2 linked regions of the Arabidopsis thaliana genome follow. The protein of the gene in region 2 interacts with the protein of the main gene of each other region in a pairwise test. Each region holds a gene or a part of one and is shown on either strand. Other genes may lie near its edges. The genes, in order: AT2G33710 and AT4G37180.

The links.
Region 1: the proteins of AT4G37180 (region 2) and AT2G33710 interact in binary tests that used the Arabidopsis thaliana proteins (3 or more experiments, as listed by UniProt).

Annotation. Positions count from the first base shown.
Region 1 is NC_003071.7:14,255,889-14,263,613, forward strand, and holds AT2G33710 (Integrase-type DNA-binding superfamily protein), read right to left. Parts: upstream 4,852-7,725; 5' UTR 4,765-4,851; coding exon 4,584-4,764; intron 3,859-4,583; coding exon 3,419-3,858; coding exon of another isoform or gene 3,383-3,418; exon of another isoform or gene 3,152-3,382; coding exon 3,077-3,151; 3' UTR 2,921-3,076; downstream 1-2,920. Other genes in the region: AT2G33705 (F-box family protein), read left to right, coding at 263-472.
Region 2 is NC_003075.7:17,500,861-17,508,605, forward strand, and holds AT4G37180 (Homeodomain-like superfamily protein), read left to right. Parts: upstream 1-3,703; 5' UTR 3,704-3,787; coding exon 3,788-4,013; intron 4,014-4,084; coding exon 4,085-4,266; intron 4,267-4,356; coding exon 4,357-4,672; intron 4,673-4,786; coding exon 4,787-4,863; coding exon of another isoform or gene 4,864-4,920; exon of another isoform or gene 4,921-4,956; coding exon 4,957-5,247; 3' UTR 5,248-5,644; downstream 5,645-7,745. Other genes in the region: AT4G37190 (plasma membrane, autoregulation-binding site, misato segment II, myosin-like, tubulin/FtsZ protein), read left to right, coding at 6,295-6,366, 6,527-6,628, 6,716-6,761, 6,858-6,936, 7,076-7,412, 7,495-7,735.

The sequences.
Region 1 (7,725 bases), on a different chromosome or scaffold from region 2:
TTAGTAGTATTCAACATCCATTGAGATTTTAGATGGATGCATATTATCCCATTGTAAATAATTTTTAACTTGTTCCACCAAATTCCTTTCATTAAAAAATTTATCAGAATTTTATTATTTGCATTTAGGCCCTCATACTATTAGGACAGTTCACATTAACCCCTATATATTCATTATATTTAAAGAAACACTTAGATCTCTGTTTCAATTTAGCAAATGGAAAACAAAAGAGACTTTAGTGTTTAAGAGAAGCGTCTCTACCATGATGAAGACACGAGCTTGTTCGAATCCGATGAATGAAGGAGTAAACTTGGAACAGATCCCATACGATCTCGTATTGGAGATACTCTTGAAATTGTCGGCAAAGTCTATAGCGAGATTTCGTTGCGTATCAAAGCTATGGGATTCCACATTCCGCAGTCGATATTTCACTGAACTGCTCTTTATCATATCGTCTTCCATGCAAATTTAGACGTCCAAGGATCTGAAGCTTATGGCAAGTATTTAGGATTAGCACAGTCGTTATCTTATTTGATTACTATATTTTTTTTTCTTGGTACGTATGGTATTCATCTTTTCTTATTGGTTCATGCAATATCTTGTGAACCATGGTGTTATAAGTTTTAAGGTTACTCTTCTTTTCATCATGAGCGATAAGCGACTTTGGAAATTGTGTCTTTGGTGAGCTCTATGTTATTCATTTATCCATTGGTGAAAACCACATTACAATTGGGCTAAAGAATGTAGTTTTCGAGATTGTAGATGAACTAAATAGACCATTGCCAACACGGTATAACTTATTTAAAGCAAAAATCTGCATGTATACAAAAGGAAGATATACAGTACAAACATAAAGATACAGATATATAAAGTTTCCATAGCAACCTTAATTAGATTGTTACTATACAATACAATGTTCATCTTTTCTTGGGTAGTAAACAATACTACTTATTTTCATCCTCTAGTGTAAAGACTTTTGTAATGCGCTGCTTTACAATTATTCTTTGTAGCTTTTGTTTGATTCTGAATAGAAAGAATTGTTATTATAAAAGAAAAGTAAACAAATTTAAATTATACTTTTTATTCAAGTTTTGCAAATTCTCTTGTTATATTACAACATGTTTGTTTTCTTACTTAACGCCGCAAACACAATGATCAGAATCAAAACGGTTTATAGTGTTTTTTCCCTGCTGTGCACACATAAGTTTACAAGCAGAGAAAGACTGCTTTAATGTACAAACGCAACCGCCATATAGACAGGCAACAGGAATTGCACATGGTACTTTGTTTTTGCAATCTGAGTCTTTGTGACATCTTTTGCTTTCTGTCATCGTCATACCTTCAAATAGATTATCCAAAAGAAAACAATACTAGATAATAATTTTTAAAAAGTTGTAAGTGTTCAATTTGGATAAACCAAATGTATTTGAACCGCCTAGTTAAGCATAACAAACTGATATGAAAAACCGTACAATTTTTTTGTTAACATTAGTTTTATATATCCTAAAAACCAAAAATCGATTTATAATCCAATAAAAAAATATGGCTGCTTTGCCAATTCAATTGATTCTGATCTGAAACTAAAACCGCAATTTTTGTTTGTGTTGATTACTTGATTACTGTTTTTAAGAAATCTTTAAGCTCACAATAAAGAAACTAACAAATTGAAAATTCCTAGATAAATTAATTCATTTGAAAAAAATGAATCTAAAATTTTCATATTTTACACCACAGCAAATAGCACTTGATATTGAATCAACATTAAATAGTATTCGTTCTTTTACTTTTAAAAATCCATTAAAAATCAGGGTATCACCTATATGTTATAGTCATTAGAACATAAATATAAATTATATATGTGTGTGTTTCATTGTTATACATATTAACACACTGATATATGAGTAAATGAATTATAATATATTTGTATGAGTGAAGAACTCACAGAAGGGTGATACAAGGAACAAGATTAAAAGAAGCCTGTTTTCTTTGAGTTCATCTCTATATTTTTTCTTTCTTTTTTCTTTTTGTATTTTGTTTGTTGTGATTTGTGAGTTATGATGGTAATTTGTGTTCTAAATTGGGTTTAATATATTAGGATAGTTTTTATCCTCTTTTATGAGGTCAATACATACAAATGATTTTGGTATTAAAATGTTTAGATTTCATACCTATATTATTTATTATGATTAATTGAGAAACACTATATAAAACAATAGCAATTTATGATATCATATACTATTATTGTTTAATGAATCTATACGTAAATTATTATGTTTTGATGATACATAGCATTTAACATAAATAGTGTAGATTTGATAGTGTCCACATGTAATCATCTAAGAGGCATATTAGTTCTGATTTTAATTTTGTGATCGCGATTCTTTGTGGATTTGTCCATCAAATTACGTGATTTTTTTTTTTTTTTGCAAAAAACAGGTTAAATGGTTCTGATTACTCAATAAAACACACAAGATGTGAATTTGATTTTTAAAAACATAAAACATATTTTCACAGATAATAATTTTCATGAATAATTTTTCATAATGTTGAACCTTTTTCTCCATTCAGTTATTTAACTGGTGAAAGATACACTTATATGAAATAATCGCAAATTTGAATAGAACAAAAAAACTTTTACTACATGTTTTGTTTTATACACTAGCAGTCGATATGTGTATCCTATATAATAATTTATTTATAATAATTTTACTTGAATCGTTTTTTAATCGTTTCATATGCAGACTGTTACCTAGTTTAGTTTCATTTTTATTTACCAACCATTTCATCATTCAACGCGTTGAAAAATATATGAGCATTGGATAATAAGACAGATATAAATGTAAGTACATATTTAAAAAAATTTAGCTTATGTTTTGGAAACTCGAACACCCTCATCATGTGTATACCCTCTATATTTGTTTTTGAACTTTTTTTTTTATCTCTTTCGTACGTGATACAAAAGGATAAACTAGCAAGCTACTTCGGAGTGGAAAGACATAAAGCACCATGTACGAGCTTTTTTCTACCTGATATACTCGACCCAACCTGATCCGACCGGTCCGGTCAACACATTATCTCATTTGATCGGTCGATCAGGTGAGGCATGTTGTTGTCTCCGTCGGTCATCTTCTGTGGATATAGTCGTCATGACCTATCAGGACGTTTTCCAAGCTAAGTAGTCTTCATCCCATTCTTGCATAGTCATGTTCAAAATTTATATATTTTTCATCCATAAGGCCTGATTCCTAGCTAAATCCACTCCATAGACTCTTTAAAGACTACCAAAATGAAGTCGTAAAGAGATTAAGCGCCTAAAATGATCAAAGCCGGAGGTCAATGCGTTTGATAACTTGGACGAAGAGATATTTATGCCATTAACATGTTATTTTCGTCGTTTGTGGATACTAATGTTCTTCACGTTTTCACCATCCTCCAAATTTGGTCTTAGCCCTTGATGATTCAAAGATGAAGACGAAGAAGACAGCATATTCATGGACAAGTTGGCACTGGAATCACTACTTCGAGATTGAAAGTGGCCATATTGATCAAGAAGTATGTCAGGAGCAATTGGTGGAGGTGGACTAGGTGGTGTCACGATAATGCGATCATGGGAAGTAGCGGGCGATGGATAGAGTTGAGTAGGGTTGACACGAATATGCTCGGGGAAGTTAAGCTTGGCCTTGTGACCTCTAAACTCAAATGCAGCTTTATCATACGCTAAGGCGGCTTCTTCTGCAGTGTCGAACGTCCCAAGCCACACACGAGCTGCCTTGTTCGGGTCACGAATCTCAGCCGCCCATTTTCCCCACGGTCTTTGCCTCACGCCTCTGTAGTTTCGTTGCCTCGAGTTACTTTTTTCTGTAGAAAAATGATGAAAATTGTAAGTTCACTCTTGTCATGAAAATGGTGACTTAAATGTGACGTGCATGTCTATGAATATAACGTATACTATCGGTGTAGAGGCATTTCGTAAAGATTATTAAAGGGCGTTTGAATCATATGATATGATCATTCTACATCAACTTTTATTCCCCTCTTCTACATCTACTTATGAAATCTATATATTAGGCCAAACCTACATTTATACATTCCTCTCTCTCGTAATTGGTAATTAACTATATATATACTTATGTATCACACCAATGATATAATTAGGATATAAATTAAGTTTGATCATTTTAAATACGTTTTCCCCATGTTACAATCCTAAAACTCTCTCTGGCTAGTTATCTCAACCAAAATACGACCATTGCAACCAAGCCTTGCCAATCATATTTGTCCGAAAGCCAAATATGATCAATTTTGTCCAACCAATAAAGCCGACAGGTTTTTTCAAGAAAATCTAACCATGAACATTCATTAAAAAAATCATATAGTAAATTGAACTAATGCATTGTGGCCATACATGAAATTATATCTCTATTTGATCAAGGCCATGCTGCAGCCACTAAAGGATTACCAATTGCAAAATCCAAGATTAAATCATTCCTATGTGTAAAGAGAATCACCAATGGAAAAGACAATCACTCGAGTTATAAAGTATAGCAATTAAAATTATTGGAAAAAGGATCTGATGAAATTACCTTGAAGAGTAAGCGACGAAGATTGATCATCAATGGATGATGGGATGGGTTGACCAGTGAGTTCAGAGACAAAATCAGACACATCAGATTCCGACAAAGTTGAGCAACAACACAACTCTTTTTTCTCTTCTCTATTTCCGGCCATTGATTCTGGTGATAGAGGTCTCTTCCCGCTATGCATTATCCGATGATGTCAATTATGATTATTTTTATTTTATTTTTGAAGTCAAAGATGGGTTTGGGTACAAGCCAAAGAACCAGCAAAGATGTCTATTCTCTGCATCTATGTTATATATAGACGCACACGCATGTATTTGTTGACCAATATTATAGAGAGTTTGTCTAACCTAGAGGATATTTTGGTCATAAACATTACACACACTTTTTTGTTCCTTAAAAACAATTCTTTGTATTCATCTCTTTAATTTTCCTTAACAAACGTTACATTACGGACTGCATCGACCGACCCACTATGTAGTTGTATTAATGGTTTGTGTTAACCCAAAATCGATTGCGTGTCTCAAAAGACGAAAAAAAAAACGACTGTCTTATACAAAATTCATTAATTATGATCCAAGTCTTGTGTTAATTACGGTCAACATTTTAAGTTAAAATTAATTATTTATTATATATGTGGTGGATTTAAATAATTATTTTCATCCTGAACATTAAAGGGTTAATAATTTACCTAAATGACTCACCAAAAAATTAATTTACCTAAATGACCATGATGAATATCTAATTATTTAGGTAAATGAGCAAATGACAAACATATAATCAAAGAAACACTTTAATATATATAAACATGTAAACACCAATTATTTAGGTAAATAATGTATTTTCTATCATTTGACTTTAATGTCTTTATATATATATATATATATATATATATAGATACATATGTGTTTTGCACAATCATTTTATTTTAATAAACAACGTACTGTATAAATCACATAAATAAAATAGCATAATATTTTTGCTAATTAAAAGTCGCTTATGTCATCCAATACAGTTGAGTGTGTTTTTAAATTGTTTTATGTAATATATAAAAGTTCATGGTTAATTAGGATGAATATTCAAAATTAAAGGACAAACTCTGTTTCTATTCGCTACATATATAGTTTTACGGAATACACTCTGCACAAGTCATCATAAAACAACTGGAATGGAATATGCGATGAATCTCTTTAATAATAATATGTGGGATCTGACTGTGGATTCTAATCTAATATTTCTATTATAAGCAATTTGGACGATTCGTGCCATTTTAAAAATGGTTGAGGGATTTTTTTATGGGGTTGAATATTGTCATTGCGCCTTATCAGAAACACAAAAACAAAAAAAATATTGTCATTACATGCATGATGTTGATGAATTATTTTTCAATCATATAAACTTGTGGTTGAAGAAAAAGCACAATATTTAACAAACAAAAACATAACCTGAAACAATATAAACTTACTTTCTAAATTAATAAAACATTTGACCGAATGGGGAATCTAAAAGTGTGTCATATAAGATATTGATTTAAAGACCTAGATGACGTATGGGCTTACATAATATGTGGTCAACATTGAATATTATAGTCAGAGCAAACTTCGCACGAACAAATCAACTCCAATCTCACACCAATAGCATAAGACCATGCCGTAGTCTATATGATTGCCACAAAAGAATTATTCTTATTGGCCAACTTTGACCTAGTGTTATATTTGTATTTATATCTTTTAATTAAGTATTTATTGAATTATGTATATACATTGATTGTTGCATTCATCTTTTTTACTTAGTATGCCATCTATTCAATTAGATGAACACATTGTAATACTATAATAAATTACGTATGTTTAGTTACGATAGTGCTTTAATTTTGATCTAAACCACATGATCTAGTCAGAACGCTTTGATCGATATTTGTTTGTGTTTATTTTTTTTGTTGTTGCTAAATTGTAAATATCAGTAAGGAATGAAAGTTGGGGCGTACAAGAAGTTAGACCTATAAATATAATTGCTACTTTGCCAAAAAGGTATAAAAACAAGGGAACATATACAAGAGAATTTTATGAGATTCAATAAAAGAGCTTTAGTGGAGCCACACGGTTGCATCAGTCTTGAGAAGCTGCGCAAATGTCGTCTTGCTGAGATTGAGTTACGGAGTAACTTGTATATTGTTTTGGAGTAACTTGTGCTTGGGTTCAATTGGTTTACTAGTACTTTATGTAGCAAGTTATAGAACAGTTCATATCTGTATATACAGTTTGTGAGGGTGGCATTTCCACAGTCTCTATTGGTATTGTATGTTTATGAGACAATTCATGTTACGTATATGAATTGTTACAAAACTTTATGTTGTGACCAGCTACAAAATTAGTTACCAAGTCAATATCCATGGCCACGACAACACAATAGCGGCCACTATACTAGTGAACAAATCATCGGTAGCTATACTTCTTGGAAATGGTAATGAATACTACAAAAATAACCCCACAATATTCTTAAGTTTTTTGTGTGGCTACACGCCTACACTAGCTTAGTCATGGATAAAGTCGTTTACATATGTGATATGTCCGCCTAACCAATGAGGATTCTGATTTCTGAATCGGGCAGATTTGTCCGGAACACGATCTATGCTCATGTAGGTCCTCATCACTCTTGCAATGATCTTTACCACAATTAATTCACAAATTCAACTTAAAATCTTATAAGTTGAAAAAGCTCCGATCCTCCCTCTTTGTTCACATTAAAACAAAACAGAACTTATTGAACACATATCTGCATGACTGCATTTTAAAAAGAAAACTAGCTGTATTGGGCTATGTTGTGGGCTTCGCTAGCCCATGTAGGTTGAATATCTCTTGTCATAGTAATGACCATCTATATTGAAATAAAATTCTTATGATAACACAAACCATATTAAATCTGAACATTGATTCACGCAAATAGAGATAGTTGGCACCAAAAGTCTAAGACGCACACTCATCTTCATAGGAAACCCAAACCCTAAGAAATGGAAAATTAACAGCTTCATAGTTCAAACGCAGAATAAAAATAACTACAAAGGTAATATTCAGTTTTCACATAAATCATTTTCCTTTTTTCTATAACAAATGGATTTCCTTTTTTAAACAGGAAAATACCTGAA
Region 2 (7,745 bases):
CCGCTGGACGACATCGGATTTGTTGTTCTATCTCTCATTAAGAGAAATATAAATCCAACATTATATAGATTTTGTTTTTGTCGTACCCAACATTATATTTAATTTTTTGCTGAATCATTATTTTATTTTAAAATGGAATCACGCTTTGTTCCTTGTTTGTCACTAGAAAACAGCATCTTATTTCATTATTCATCTTTTTACAAGATAAAACTAAGACCATCCAAACATTCAACCTTTTAGTTGTAGAGAATGAAAGAATCTTTGAAACTATAAACATCCATTGTTTGCCAAATCACCAATAAATATCTACAGATACATTATTCGATTAGAATATATATGTATAGATAATCATTCACAATTTTGATTGGTTTTTTCAAAAAAATTGATCCAAGAGTTTAGTTCGAAATTTCTGTTGAAATATAAGTGACTCATTTTCAAGTAAAAGTTGAACTATCTACATATATATTTTTGGAGCTATTTTAGCAAATAAATCCTAGACTTGAACTTATTTACAACTCAATGCCATTAGCATTAAATCTTTTTTCCAAACTAATTAATTTTACTTTACATTCTTAATTTAAATTGTCAATCACATTATCAATCAAATTTAATCCAAACAAACTTCACATCAATCCCTTAAAATTAGCATAAACATATTTGTTAACAATATTTAAAACAAAATTTTTTGTTTAAATAAATATTATTCTTACTAAAAGTTTTTGTTTAAATAAATAAATCATGTATTTGAACTTATTTACAATGTCATGTTACTGACATTAATTATTTAGGAATGAAAATATTTAATTAAAGATCTAAATCTTCTAAATCTTCTAAATCCTTACTTTTAGATTTATTGTGTCATTACCTTAAAGGTAACAAATATTAACTTTTTAAATATAATTATTTATATATTTAAACTTAATAAAACATTATCAATATTTAAACTTATAAAAAGTTTAATATGTCACAATTTTTTAACATCATTATATAATATATAGAGTTTAAAAAAAATTCAAATTTTTTCCCTTATATTTTGTGATTCGAAATTTTAAAAATAAACATATATTAACCAATTGGCAAAAAATGTGTGGGTTCAACGTCCCGCATCGACTAAAATATTTAGACAATGATTCGTAAACATATCATAAATAAGATCAACATTAATAAAATCAATGGGTTTTTTTACGAGACGGGTTTGGCATGAAGAGTTTGGCATAACGTTATTTAATAACAACTGTAAATTATAAAATAAAAATATTTTATAAATAGATACAATTTACAAATATTTATATATACTAACTTTAAAAATAAATTGTTCCGCAGTACGCCGCAGATTAAAATCTAGTAAAATTCTATTATTGATGACAAATATTATAAAATTCTAAAATTTCGAAATTATATGACTGAAACGAAAACCAAATAATCAACCCATGGGATTCTTACTTAGATTAACCAAAGACATCATTGGATTCTGGCAGATAGAAACGAAGAAGAACCTTATCCTCAAATTAGCTAGACAGAGCAAAAGCCATCGTTTGTTAAGAACAATAATACAAAAAAAGTTAGGGACACGTGTCGCGAACCCACGATCGAGAATCTAATCAATCAACGGCATCAAAATCTCGACGTCTTTATTACAAACAAAGTCGAGACGTTTCAGTTCCTCCTTGAAAGAAAAAAACGATTCTCATGATAAAGAATCTGGATTAGTTGGACACGTGTCCTGGTATAGTTGGCTAACAGTGAGCCGTTTCTTTTGGTCCGTCCGTTAGATTCCTTGTGGTCTTTATTGTTTATAGGTCCTAGGCATTTTACATGCTACTGTGTTTCGGAATATCTTTTTGTTAGAGGAATCAAATGTTATTTTGAAAAAATTGAATGCTATTTTAAAATTGAAAGAAATTTGTATTTGGCTAGCAGGAAAAAGCATGGAATAAAGTAGCTTTGCGTACTGGGATCTTTTACATTGGATTATGCGAAAGATCCTTTTTTCTCATTTTGCTAGAGAATTCTTGAGTTTTATTTCATATAATAATATTAAGTATAATTCACCTTTTGAACGATATAAGTTTTGATTAGTAAAAAAAATGGATGAGTAGTGGAATAATTTGCAAGAAATAATGGTGCTACATAAGAATGATCAACCTAGTTTCTTGAAAAGAATATCAACACTGAAATGAACAAAAATATTCATAATACGATAACCAAAACCAACTAAACCATGAAAAGGGCACTTATAAACACAAAGGTTACGTGATTTCTTGAAACTAATGCTCACCGTGAATGTAAATGGACGTTGCGTGTGGTAAAAATAAAGAAAAGACAAAGAGATCTTTTGACCACTTCACTCTTTTAAAATCACATACGTATGTGTCGATTTCTAATACAGCTAGTAGCTTGTGTTAGCAAAATTTAGTATAATTTTTTTCCGGGTAAAATGTTTAGTATAATTTTTTAGTAAAATTTAGCAAAATTTAGTATAATTTTTCTATTCGAAAAGATAAACTAAAGCGAATATGTCCTATACTAGTAAAGATTAATTATTTATACGGCTCTACTAATTTAGTCTAGTTATATGATAGTAGTACAAACTGAAGTACGAATTTATGTATCGTACTACTTGCATAAACGTACATGTGGTTTTGCCTATCTAAGAACATCGTTTAATTAAACCCGATTGTATAGTTTGAATGTTTTATCGGTTTTTAAACGAGTGGTTCGAATTCCATGAAACCGAGATTTCAGTATAGCTCTGTGTTTGAGATACAATAACAAATACATGAATCCATAGCCCATAGGCCATACACGGTTATGCCCATTCGGTATTGTTGGTCTAGCAAAGTTATTTCTGACGATGTGCTACATGTACTATGTGGTACATACCTTTTTTATATTCAACATTTAATCTCATATCATGTTGACTATAAATGTATAACTTTCAAGCTCATAACATTTAGGTTATAAAAAGTCAATATTTGTTGTAGTCTAAATCTTCTTTATTTCAAACGTAATTTTTTACTCCAAAAAAGTGTAACTTATCTACTTTTAATTGTTAAAGTAGGAAAATAAAATTTGATTTTTCTTTAAAAAAGTAGAAAATTGTTAATTTTGTACAAATAAATTTGATCTTTCTTAGTTATAGTTTGATTTTGTTAATTCCTTATTTTTAATTTTTTATCCAATAATTGAGTTGCTTTATTTTATTTTTAGTCTTTCAACAGATTCTTTTTATATTATCTTTAATAAATATTTTAGTGGGATATTTCACAGCCTGAACCACTCCATATGCAGAAAATAGTGTTTGTAAAATATTATAGATTCTTCAGAATCCTCTTTTTAAGACTAATTTGGGAAAATATTAAATACAGGATAACAGGAATATGAGAATCTTGAATGAGAAGAGCACTAAAAACAAAATAAATAACAAGTTTCCCAAAACTGAAAATTGTAATATAATTAATAGCCGAATTAAAAGGAAAAAAATCCTTAAAGAAAAATATAAAAAAAGAGAAGAATAAATATATATAAGTGAGTGTAACGATTCGCCGCGTGTGTACGGGCATCACAAAAAGATTCTTTCTTCCATTTAAAGATAAATCTAATTTTAATATTGACAAAAACACCCTCAAGTCTCCACTTATTTACAGCGGCTACGGTTCACCGCGTCCTTCTTCTTCTTCCCTAATCTCATTTTTTTTTTGTTCTCATTTATCTTCTTCAGCATCTTCATCATCTTCTTCTATATATACCTCTTTAAGCTTGCTTCTCTTTGTCTTTATCTTGTCCGATGGTTCAAACAGAAACCGATCAAAGGATGGGTCTTAATCTGAATTTGTCTATCTACTCTTTACCAAAACCCTTATCTCAATTTCTCGATGAAGTGTCGAGGATCAAAGACAATCATTCCAAACTGTCTGAAATCGATGGTTATGTCGGAAAATTAGAGGAAGAAAGGAACAAAATCGATGTTTTTAAACGAGAACTCCCTTTATGCATGCTCTTATTGAACGAAGGTATCTTTTATTAAAATTCTCTCCTTTTCTTTTTTTTATCTTCTCTAATCGATTCGTGTTTTTGTTTAAAGAGATTGTTTTTCTCTGTGTAGCGATTGGGGCGTTGAAGGATGAGGCTAGAAAAGGGTTATCACTGATGGCATCTAATGGGAAATTCGATGATGTTGAAAGGGCAAAACCGGAAACTGATAAGAAGAGCTGGATGAGCTCTGCCCAGTTATGGATCTCGAACCCTAATTCCCAATTCCGATCGGTACGATCAAAAAGCAACCCTTTTTATGTTTTGTGAAGAATCATATGTTGTGTGATTGATCTTGTTGACCTTATGATCATGTTTTGACAGACAAATGAAGAAGAAGAAGATCGGTGTGTGAGTCAGAACCCATTTCAGACATGTAATTACCCTAATCAAGGAGGGGTATTTATGCCATTTAACCGTCCCCCACCTCCTCCACCACCAGCTCCTCTGTCTCTCATGACTCCAACATCAGAGATGATGATGGATTATAGCAGAATTGAGCAGAGTCATCATCATCATCAATTCAATAAACCTTCTTCACAGAGTCATCACATTCAGAAGAAAGAGCAGAGAAGGAGATGGTCACAGGAACTTCACCGTAAATTTGTTGATGCTCTTCATAGGCTTGGAGGGCCACAAGGTTAGTCCTTAACCTTAGTAAAGGATCAAACTTTGCTTTAGATTTGATTGATTGATTATACTGAGATTGTTTTGTATTGTTGTTGTTGTTGTTGTTGTTGTTGTTGTGAGACAGTTGCTACACCAAAGCAGATTAGAGATTTGATGAAAGTTGATGGTTTAACCAATGATGAAGTCAAGAGCCATTTACAAGTAAAAGTTCTCATCTTTTACAGTAACTTAAACTTTGATGTGTGGATGAATGAATGATTTTGACAGTGCGGTGAAATGAAATTGTTATTGCAGAAATATAGAATGCATATCCGTAAGCATCCGCTGCATCCGACAAAGACTTTGTCATCGTCGGATCAGCCAGGTGTGTTAGAGAGAGAATCGCAGAGCTTAATAAGTTTGTCGAGGTCGGATTCGCCACAAAGCCCACTTGTTGCAAGAGGGTTGTTCAGTAGTAATGTTGGTCATAGCTCAGAGGAAGATGAGGAGGAGGAGGATGAAGAGGAGGAGAAGTCTGATGGACGTAGTAGCTGTAGAAATGATGAAACAAAGAAGAAGAGACAAGTGTTGGATCTTGAGCTTTGAAAGTCTGCATAGTGAATGATATAATCTTTACCAACTTATGTTATATATGCTCAAAACTTTGAGTTTGTTCGGGAGTTTTTGTAGATGTAAACATGAGAGTTGAAATAAGGAAGAGGATTTTGAGCAAAAAGTAGGGTTTGTTTTTGCAAGAGGAAATAGATAGAGAAGAGTGTTCGAAATCCTCTGTGTTTTTTTTTTTTTTTTTTTTTTACTTCATAAGTAAGATAAACTCATATATCAAAGATTTTGTTTTTATACTTATTACAGTCTCAACCATGTGAATGAAGGAGTCATTTGTTTAGTTTTACCAGCTCGTCATACTAATTACCTTTTACCTTCGAAAACAGAGGATGAAGAAACATCACAATCTTTGTCTCTTTCTGTAACTCATCGTTTTCTACAAATCTACGTAATCTGAGAGAATAAGTAAGGGGAAAAAAAATAAGAATCTTTTATTGCATAAAATCGTACGAAAAGATAAGATTTTTCGTCTGAAAAACGACAAGATTTATTTTCACTATTGAAGGAATTGACAATGTATATAGAAAAAATCTACTCACTGATTAGTGATTTGATGAATAGTTTACTTCCACGAGATTTGCATGTTTTGTGGATAAAGCTTCTTGCACCATGTAACATACATTAGCCAATAGTATAGGGTAGATATTTATCTTTTGACATAATTTTCTTCAAATTTGTTATTTTTATTCAAAAATTCAAATAGTTACTCTCTGCTTTTCACAATTAATGAGTGTATATACTAAAGACATTTAAGCGGCAATGGAATATTTGTTCAAATTGGTTCGGTCGATTCAGTTTCTAAACCCAACCGGTTTATTCACCCGGTTATTTCGAGTCAATTTATGTGGTTTTGTGGTCTCTGGGCCTCACGGGGCCGCCTCTCCGTCTTCATCAACATTCTCAAACTCTTTTACAAATCTAGGCTCGACGAGGGTTTAAGCAATCACCGGAGCTCTTAGTCTCTTACGCTGTGAGCTAAGAACCGACCTTTTGCTTAGTTTCTTTCAAGTCTCCAATCAAACAACCATGAGAGAAATTGTGACGATTCAAGTTGGAGAATTCGCAAACTTTGTTGGCTCTCACTTTTGGAATTTCCAGGTTAGAGAAGCAAAACCTCCTGTTGAACTCTCTGCTCCGATTCTTTTAACAATGGATTCTGGGTTTTGTCTGTCTCTGTTTTTCATTACAAAAGTGTTTGTCTTTTTTGCTATAAATCGATTGGGTTTGCTAAAGTTGAGAACTTTTACTTGAAATGTAGGATGAATTGCTCGGATTGGCTAGTGACCCTGAAAGCGATCCAATCTTTAGAAACCATAATCTCGACATGGATGTTCTCTACCGCTCCGGTGAGACCCAGCAGGTGAGAGATGATTGATATTTCGTTGACTTTGATCAATCTCACTTGTTTTTGCAAATCTCAACATTTGTGTGGCGGAAATTTATACAGGGGGTTGCTACATACACTCCTCGTTTGGTTTCAGTCAACTTAAAAGGTAATAATCTTAGCTTTATCTTTCGATTAGAAGATTCTGGATTTGATATATAATGGTGGTTTATATGTTTACATCTGAAACTGTTTCGTCTTTCAGGGGCACTAGGGACCATGAGCTCACGCGGTACACTTTACAACGAAGGTTCTTCATCAAGATCAGATTCTTCAGCAACCTGGTCAGATTTGCTAAGTTTTTATGGTTTTTAGGTTAATTCAATCTTAGTGCATATAAAACTTGATTTTAGAGTAATAGCTTGTTCTTCAATTCAGGTGATGTGAATAATGTGATCTTATCTTTAATTTTGTGTCTTGTAGGTTTGGAGATGTTGATACTCAGAGATCTGAACCTCGAAAGAGGAACTTGTTTCTGCAAAGTTTGTACGAGGAAGAACATGTAGTGGGGAAAGAAAAGGCGAAAGAGATTGAGGACAAAGATATTGTTGGATGCTTAGATGAGGAAGTTGAATGTTGGACTGACTTCTCTAAATCCCATTATCATCCTCAAAGTTTATATGAATTGAACGGATTATGGATGGACTCTCAGGCTTTTAACAATTATGGAATTGGTAAAGACGTTTTCTCTGAGGCTTCACGTGGAGAGGAAATATGTGACAGACTCCGTTTTTTCGTGGAAGAGTGTGATCATATTCAGGTTAAGCTTGAGACATTTTTACCTTTTCTTTTCAAACTTCTTTTACTTTCTAACAAATAGTATACGTTAATGATGATTACAGGGTATTAAGTTCCTAGTGGATGATTCGGGAGGATTTTCCGCTGTAGCAGCGGATTTCCTTGAAAACATGGCAGATGAGTACACGAATGTACCTGTATTGCTATATTCCGTAAGGACTCCAATGTCACAGATGAGCTCGAAAAAGACAGTTTCAAACAAGCTTCACGATGCGATATCGTTTTCTCGACTCTCATCCTTTTGTAAACTCTTCACTCCAATCGGTTTACCATCTTTGACAGGAAGTACGCAACA